Xenopus tropicalis: one gene and its partner. The protein of the gene in region 1 interacts with the protein of each later gene in a pairwise test. Links are inferred from orthologs where the notes say so. Each region holds a gene or a part of one and is shown in the gene's direction. Other genes may lie near its edges. The genes, in order: eif4enif1 and eif4e.

Region 1 (3,823 bases):
ATAGAGGTGTTTTACTATAATTGTGTCCCTTGATTTCTATAGACCCAAGGGAGCGTGTTAAAGAAGATGATCTTGATGTAGTACTTAGCCCTCAAAGACGGAGTTTTGGAGGTGGATGCCATGTTATAGCTGCTGCCAGTTCACGACGGTCAGGGAGTCCACTGGATAACAAAGAAAATGAAAGCATGCGCATGTTGGGGTCTCGCCGAATTGGCAGCGGGAGAATTATGACTGCAAGAGGGTTTGACAGAGATGTTCGAGGCGATAGAGAACCCAGAGAGGGGCGAGACAGAGAAAAAGAATACAAAGACAAACGCTTCAGGGTAAGTTTTCTGTCTTAAGATTTGTGTGTAAACCTTGCATCACGGAATGCTGATGTTACATCCTGATCTAAAGTAACTTTAACATGAGGTGTATTAAACTGATTTGTTAATAAAGATAGCTAAAATTCCTCCAAATAGCAGTCAATCATTTTTAGTTGTATGCTGAAAAGTGCTGGAGGGCAGCTAGATTTAATACTGGATGTTTGCGAGGACTATAAATGTTTCTTACAAAATCATTGTCCAGTTAGTGCTCTGTTCTGTTGACTTTATCAAGAAATTAAGAGAAGGAAACTTCCTTTATTTTATATATCCTTACCTTGAGTCCTGTTCTAAAACAAATGATACTATGTGACATGCTGACTGCCTGTACACATAATTTTTGGGGAATTAGCAATGGTAGGCAGGCATGCAGAGGATTTGGAGCATAAGGGGTGCAACTTCAGGCAAAACACATGTTGATGTTGGGAAGAATTGGCCCTAAATAAACAGACAGAACTAACTAAAACAGTTCAGGGTTATGATTTGTCCCTTCTTCAGGGCTCTCACCTTCCAAGGTTACTTCCACACTTTGGAACCTTTACGGGGTTTCTCACTGTCCCCAGTGACTTTCACACATCCACAGCAACTCTCGCTCATGAACGCTCAGGCTTCACCTTAAGCCTTGCTGACTCCTCCCAGCTCTCATCCATCTGGTCACGACTTCCTCTGCTCCTCGCAGTGGCAGGAGGCATCCCCAGCTCCTCTGGGAGTTCCTTACGCAGGCAGGCAGCCTTCCTGCCCTGTGCCCCACTCCTGCTCAACCCCCCTGTGTAATCACACAGCCATTTTATTTGCTGCTCACCTGCAGCCTAATCGGGCAGCTACACTACAGCTGGCCAAATGAAAACGTTAACTGGAGTTTGGAATGGAAGGTCTTTCCTGCTCTCCCTCCATTCACTCCAGGGACCTATTAATTTTGCTTTTTCTAAGCTAGTAACTTAAACACAGTATTACCTGTTGCAAAACCAGGCCTTTTACCTGGTGCTACTTGTACCCCGCCTTTAACACTGGTGGAAATACAAATAATCGTTGTCCATTGCATCTCTCACAACATAGATTAACAACCCATAAGAGGTCTGGAAGAGTGATGTCACATTAAAGAGTGGTGGTGTACCTTAAAATTACCCTTTTGGTTTGATGACAGTGTTATTCTAATACAGTTACCTGGGATTTGCAAAGCTCCAACTTCAGACTCTGACATGGCCTTTATGTGCCTTGTAACATATTTCAGATTTAAGTGAGGACTTTGGTATATTAGGTCTTCCCCCAAATATATATCTATATCGAGCACCTGTACTAAATGTCCTGTAAACCGTGTATTAAAACTTGTGCCTATGGTTTTCCCACAAGCCTTTTTGTTAAAACCACCCTCAAAAAGCATATTGTCGGAAATGTTAGAAAAGCATTTATAAAATATTTTGTAGTTGTCATTCTGTGGATCAGTGTTTGTGCAAAATGCTTTAAAGGACATGTCAACCAAGAATATAATTTTTTGCCTAATAAAAGAATATAATTCTAAGCAACTTTACAATGATTTTATTAAAAATTTTCTGTGCTTTTAAAAGTTATTTGTAAATGTAATTGCTATTGAAAGCAGCATTTGCTGAACTCCTGGTTACTTTTTACACAATGTTGCATAGGTCAGGCTCCTCCTAGTCAGTTCTGTCAATCTGCTGCCTTGTGTGTGTGTGTGACATTGTTTCAAATGCCAGATATATATATATATATATATATAAGTACAAAGTTTCTTGGAATGTTTTTTCTTTTATTAGGCAAATTATATTCTTGGTTGACTTGTCCTTTTAATCTGTAACCATTATGCCATCCAACTATACATTTTTGAAGTCTAAAACTAAAGGTGCAACTTCATTTTACTAACCAATGTTGACAAGGTTGGCAGACCTGAAGGTTTGGTCATATCCTTAATGACCTTTAGGAGGAGGGCAAATGCAGTGATTCATATTTTAAATCCATTTAGTTTATTAAACTGAAATTAAGGCTTGATATGTGCCAGACTTGTTAACTTGTTGTTTTTAGCTTCTCTAAATGTTTTTATTTTTTTTCCTCCCCCCCCCCCCCCCTCTGTCTTCTCTGCCATAGCGAGAGCATGGAGACAGTAAACGTGTATTTGGTGAGAGACGTAGAAATGACTCTTGTACAGAGGAGGAACCAGAGTGGTTCTCTGGGGGTCCCACTAGCCAGTCGGAGACAATTGAGCTTACTGGCTTTGATGATAAAATCCTGGAAGAGGATCACAAGGGCCGCAAGAGGACAAGAAAGCGGACAGGAAAGGAAGGCAAGTGGAATCTGACTTAAATTGCAGTGGGTTGGTGTTTTTACCGCATATCTTGTTTGGCCATTACACATGAGAAGGTGAGAGTTCATGCAATAAAGTATATTGAGCCTTTTTTCTTTTCCCCTTTACCCCTACTGTGTTGTCATGCCTTCACCATTGAGTTTTTGGAATCTGACAACAGTGGTTACAGGAGTTAGTTTAGGTTCAATCTGGAATTTTCAATTGAATCTTAAGATCAAGTACAAGGTACTGTTTTATTATTACAGAGAAAAAGGAAATCCTTTTTTAAAATTTAGAATTATTTGCTTATAATGAAGTATATGGGAGATGGCCTTTCCATAAGTTGCATAACTTTTCCATATTCCAAATTTCCATAACTTTTTGGATTACAGGTTTTCGGATAAGGGATCCCATACCTGTAATTTATGTGCTATTGCCCTGCACTAGTAAAAGTTGTGTGAAACTCTGCTGTAGTTTATATAAACAAAGTGGCTGTGTAGTCATGGAGGTAGCACTTAAAATGAAAAAAGGAGAAAAGTCACAGGTTACATAGCAAATAACATATTGGATGAGCAGATTCCCATTTGTGCATTTGCCCCCATAGCTAAACAGCAGCTTATTTATATAAACTATAGTAGTGTTTCTGAAGCAAACATACAACTTTTACCAGTGAAGGGCAGCAGTACATTATATTATAATTCAAATGTTTTCATTTTCTGGTAGTACTGTTCCTTTAAAGCATTAAGTGCACTTATAGATACAAATAACTTTTTGAACATAAGAAAAGTAATTCAGGTGTTTTATTGTGACAGGAACAACAGGTAGACTAATGGCAATCTGTTCTGTGTTACAACAATGTCAACAATCTCCAGATTGCACAGACATTGGTATTGGGAGTTAAACTATTACAAATTAGTGTCTTTAAGACTTCATGTTATTGTATGAGGCAAGTGCACAACTCAGAACAGGCCATGCCCAGGTAGGATAAAGGAACATGGGTCTTAATGAAAACATGCAAACTTAAACGAGAATTAAAGCTTAACTAAAGAAGTAGGGCAGAAATGTTGCACATTGTTTTGGGCTTCTGTACCAGCCCAAGGAGACCTCAGCTGTTTAGCAGGGAAGATCTGTGCCTACAGAGATGCCCCAGTAGCTCCCTATTTTC
Region 2 (3,923 bases), about 77 Mb from region 1:
TAGTTTCCCAGGCAAGGCCGCAGACAACATAGCACAGGAGGAGGAGTTTGATAGCTTTAAATACCCCCCACGCATACGCAGAACCGGCGCCATCAGCGCGTCACGGACGTGCACGCTTTGACATGTACGTGCGCTTTGACGCACGCGCACCTGGACGCGCGTGTGCAACGTCCCGCGGACAATAGGATGCACACGCAAGGAGGCGTGCGAGACCAGGCCGCACGGGTGAGTACCCTGACACCCCGGTATTGCGGTATCTGAAAAATTAATATAGTTTTTAAAAAAAACACCGGTATTCGGTATTAAACGGTATATCGCCCAGCCCTACCCATAATTCTATATGGTGCTTTGGACATCTGTTATAATAGTTGTTATTCATCAAAAGTAGTCTTACTGATGTATGATAGCTTCTGTAAACCTTTGAAATTAAATTTTAGGTGTAACCCTAAATTGTATAATGCAATTTTCTGGTGTCATTTTGTTTCGGGAAATACGTGTATTTATGGGTGAGAAGTAAATAATTTTAATAATTCAGTTCTTCAAGGCTGCGGCCACAATGTCAAATAGATGCACAGTAGTGTAACATAAGTTTTCTGTATGCCACAGCAATACTGAAACTGCTTATCATTCAGAGTTCCCCTGGTTCCCACCCTGTATAAACAGGGGCTTCCATTAGTCTTGGATCTGCTCTGTGGCTAAACCTCTCTGATGAGATATAAAAGCTTGGTGAGGGCAAAATAATTATTTAACTGCTCATGGTGAATTATAAAGTTTATATCTTATTATATAGCTACAAAAGTGGAAAATACAAATCAGAAAGCGATTTTAAAAATAAAACAGAACATTTTTACAAAAGGAAATGCTAGCAAAAGATGTTTACTTAATCGTTTGAGGAAAGAACTAAACTTTAGCCAAGTGCTCGGTATTGAAAGTACTGGGTGTGATTCACATCAGAAGCCAAGGCCACTTTAGGCATAAGTTACCAGCTGCCCTGCATATGTTGCACCTTTACATACACTTCCTTTGTGTCCTTCAACGTTAATGAAAGATCAGATGCCCGCCTACCAATGCCTTGCAAGTGACACAGAACCAAATCGTAATAGTAGTAGTTCCCAAGCGACCATTTACACTACAACTCCCAGCACCCCTTGCGCGGCCTCTCCCTCTTTACAGGTTGCTGGGCGGGGCTACGCAGACTCAGCTGTCGGCGGACGTCACGTGGCACGCCCCAAACCAACCGGGTTTGAAAGTAGTTTTTTTTTAACCTCCTCTTCTTTCCTGCCAGCGGCGGCTGTGCAGTCACAACCATCTAAAATGGCGTCTGTGGAGCCGGTGAGTAGATGCGTGACTCGTGTACAGGCAAACCCACAAGCACATGGTTTTAGATGTTGCTTTGGCGGAGCGACTGACACTTATTAAAGCAAGGGGGCGGCCAGGTCTCCGCTAGGCGCTCAGAAAGCCGAGGGAGGAGTCCAAAGTAACATGTTTCTGCTGTTCTAGGCGGCGGCGGCTGCTTTTACTGCAGCTACAGGCATCGTAGGGGATGCCGCGATCTTTGCCCCACCCTATGTCCCGGTCGCATTGCTAGGGGAATGGCTGCTACTTACACCGTGTGTGTGTGTGTGGGACACCCGTGCGCGCTCCCGCCCCCTCCATTATTGTACATGTGTGTGCGCGTCAGCATGTGACGAGGAGCCGGCTGGCCGCGTGGCGGGCACACACAGGGAGGCGAGACTTTTTGGCTGCACCGGCCATTTACGGGCGCGTCCCGGCATTCCAGTCCGAGTGCGCCGTGTCCATGTTGGGTTTGGTTACTGCGGCTAACCTGTCACTATTGCATCGATACCGTATTGCTTCTCTCATAAACTCCCCGCCCCCCATCGTGTTGCACAAGTTAATATGGCAGGGGTGTCCCCTCCTCCTCCAGCTTCTACTGCACGTTGCCTTACTCATTGAAAAGGCGCAGGCATATGTCTGTACATTCACTTCCTTGTAAGTCTCCTTTCCCTCACATGGGCAGCTGGCCGGCCTTGTCGCCAATAATCACACGCAGAAAGCCCACAAGGGGAATCTAGTGACTTATCTTTCAGCTCTTTTGCAGTCCCTGAAATTGAAAGAAGTTAGTCATTTTGTCTAATCACATGGTGTCGTCCCAGTAAAAATCACGTTTGTTGTAATAAGTAGAAACCTGATGCATGGCCAAAGAATGCACATGTCATGGCTGTGAAACACTACAGAGAATGGCATTGCATTTAATTGGCGTGACTGAGGGATTGTGACATGACTAGGTGGCTCCCTGGCTGCACAGTATTGCTTTTAATTAGAACTAGAAGAATGGGCACAGAAATTGGTACCGGTATGGGACCTGTAATCCAATGCCTGGGGACCTTGGGGTTTCCGGATAAGAGAGCTTTCCGTAATTTGAAACTCCATAACTTAAGTCTGCTAAGAATAATTTAAATATTGAATAAACCCAAAAGGATTGTTTTACCTCCAGTAAGGATTAATTATATCTTGGTTAGAATCAAGTACAGGTATGGGACCTGTTATCCAGAATGCTCATGACCTGGGGGTTTCCGGATAAGGGATCTTTCTGTAATTTGGATCTTCATAACTTAAGTCTGCTAAAAATCATTTAAATATTGAATAAGCCCAAATAGGACTGTTTTGCCTTCAATAAGGATTAATTATATCTTGGTTAGAATCAAGTAAAAGGTCCTGTTTTATAGTTACAGAGAAAAAGAAAATCATTTTTTAAAAATAAGAAATATTTGCTTAAAATGGAGTCTGTGGGAGACGGCCTTTCCGTAATTTGGATAATGGGTTTCCGGATAAGGGATCCCATACCTGTACCACAACAGTTGCATAGTTAGAGACACTGGCTACAGACATCAGCAAGTGCTAGTAATTCTCCTTGCAGCTATAAAACTAGATATTTATATATGTGTAGAAATATTTATGTGCGTATGATATTGTGGTGCGTTTTTTTTTCCTCAAGGCAGTCTGTGGTGGTGGGAATGCTTTGGGTTGTAATATCCGTACAGGCTGAAGTTGCTTAAAGTTTTTTTTTTTAATAAAGCAGTGTGTATTCAGTGTTGTGGGTCAGCCATATGCTATACTGCATGAATATTTTAAGACTGATGTCATACAAAAAAGTCTGAGTTCTGGAGCAGTTGAAAATTTTTGAAGGGTCGCGCCGATCCTAGTGACCTCCAGTTCTCCACTGGCTGAGAAGTGCTCATTCGCGGCCATTCAGTCTATTGTATACTTAGGTGTCTGTCATTTTTTGTAACAGGTGTATTTCAGTTTTGAATGGCTATATCCATAAAGATCCATTCATTGGTAGGGGGGGGGGGGGTCACTAGAACAAGCAGATTTTGCAACCCACAGGCTTTCTTTTTTTGTTTTTTTTTGAGCAGTCTTATTGGCCCGGCTTTAGTATGAAGGAAATAACATTCTGAAAAAATGTAGTAGCTATTCTTTAATCTACTATTTAGCACTTGTTGCTTTGTGATTTTGCTAGTTTATTTCTAAAACCTTTCACACACTTTTTACCCCCAAATGTATTGATTCTGTTACATGGAGCATTTCAGTCCTCTTGGACCTCCCAAGGACCAGATTTGGGAAATAAGCTAACACATTCACACGGGGATCACTTAATAACATGAGTGAGTGTAAGCTGTCCCTGGCTGCACCATAGTCTTATCAAGTTTCCCATTTAAATGAATTTGAATGGCTGCTGGAAGACAAGGGCATTTTGATCACTGGCTGGAATGCAGCATTCAAAAAGTAATCTGTGTTCTCATAATGTCTCCATTACAGTCTCAAGGTATATGTGGACCAATGCATCTTCCACGAAAATGCGCTTTAAGTGTGATGATTTGTCTTGTCTTGGCAGATCGATCTCGCAGGTTTCCTAGATT

Evidence for each region.
Region 2: the proteins of eif4enif1 (region 1) and eif4e interact in binary tests that used the Homo sapiens proteins (3 or more experiments, as listed by UniProt). The link is inferred for Xenopus tropicalis from reciprocal best matches to the Homo sapiens genes EIF4ENIF1 and EIF4E.

What each region holds. Positions count from the first base shown.
Region 1 is NC_030677.2:152,099,686-152,103,508, reverse strand, and holds part of eif4enif1 (eukaryotic translation initiation factor 4E transporter), read left to right. Parts: intron 1-42; coding exon 43-323; intron 324-2,462; coding exon 2,463-2,658; intron 2,659-3,823. UniProt on the Homo sapiens protein: EIF4E-binding protein that regulates translation and stability of mRNAs in processing bodies (P-bodies). Plays a key role in P-bodies to coordinate the storage of translationally inactive mRNAs in the cytoplasm and prevent their degradation.
Region 2 is NC_030677.2:74,891,134-74,895,056, forward strand, and holds the start of eif4e (eukaryotic translation initiation factor 4E), read left to right. Parts: upstream 1-1,308; 5' UTR 1,309-1,314; coding exon 1,315-1,332; intron 1,333-3,923. UniProt on the Homo sapiens protein: Acts in the cytoplasm to initiate and regulate protein synthesis and is required in the nucleus for export of a subset of mRNAs from the nucleus to the cytoplasm which promotes processes such as RNA capping, processing and splicing.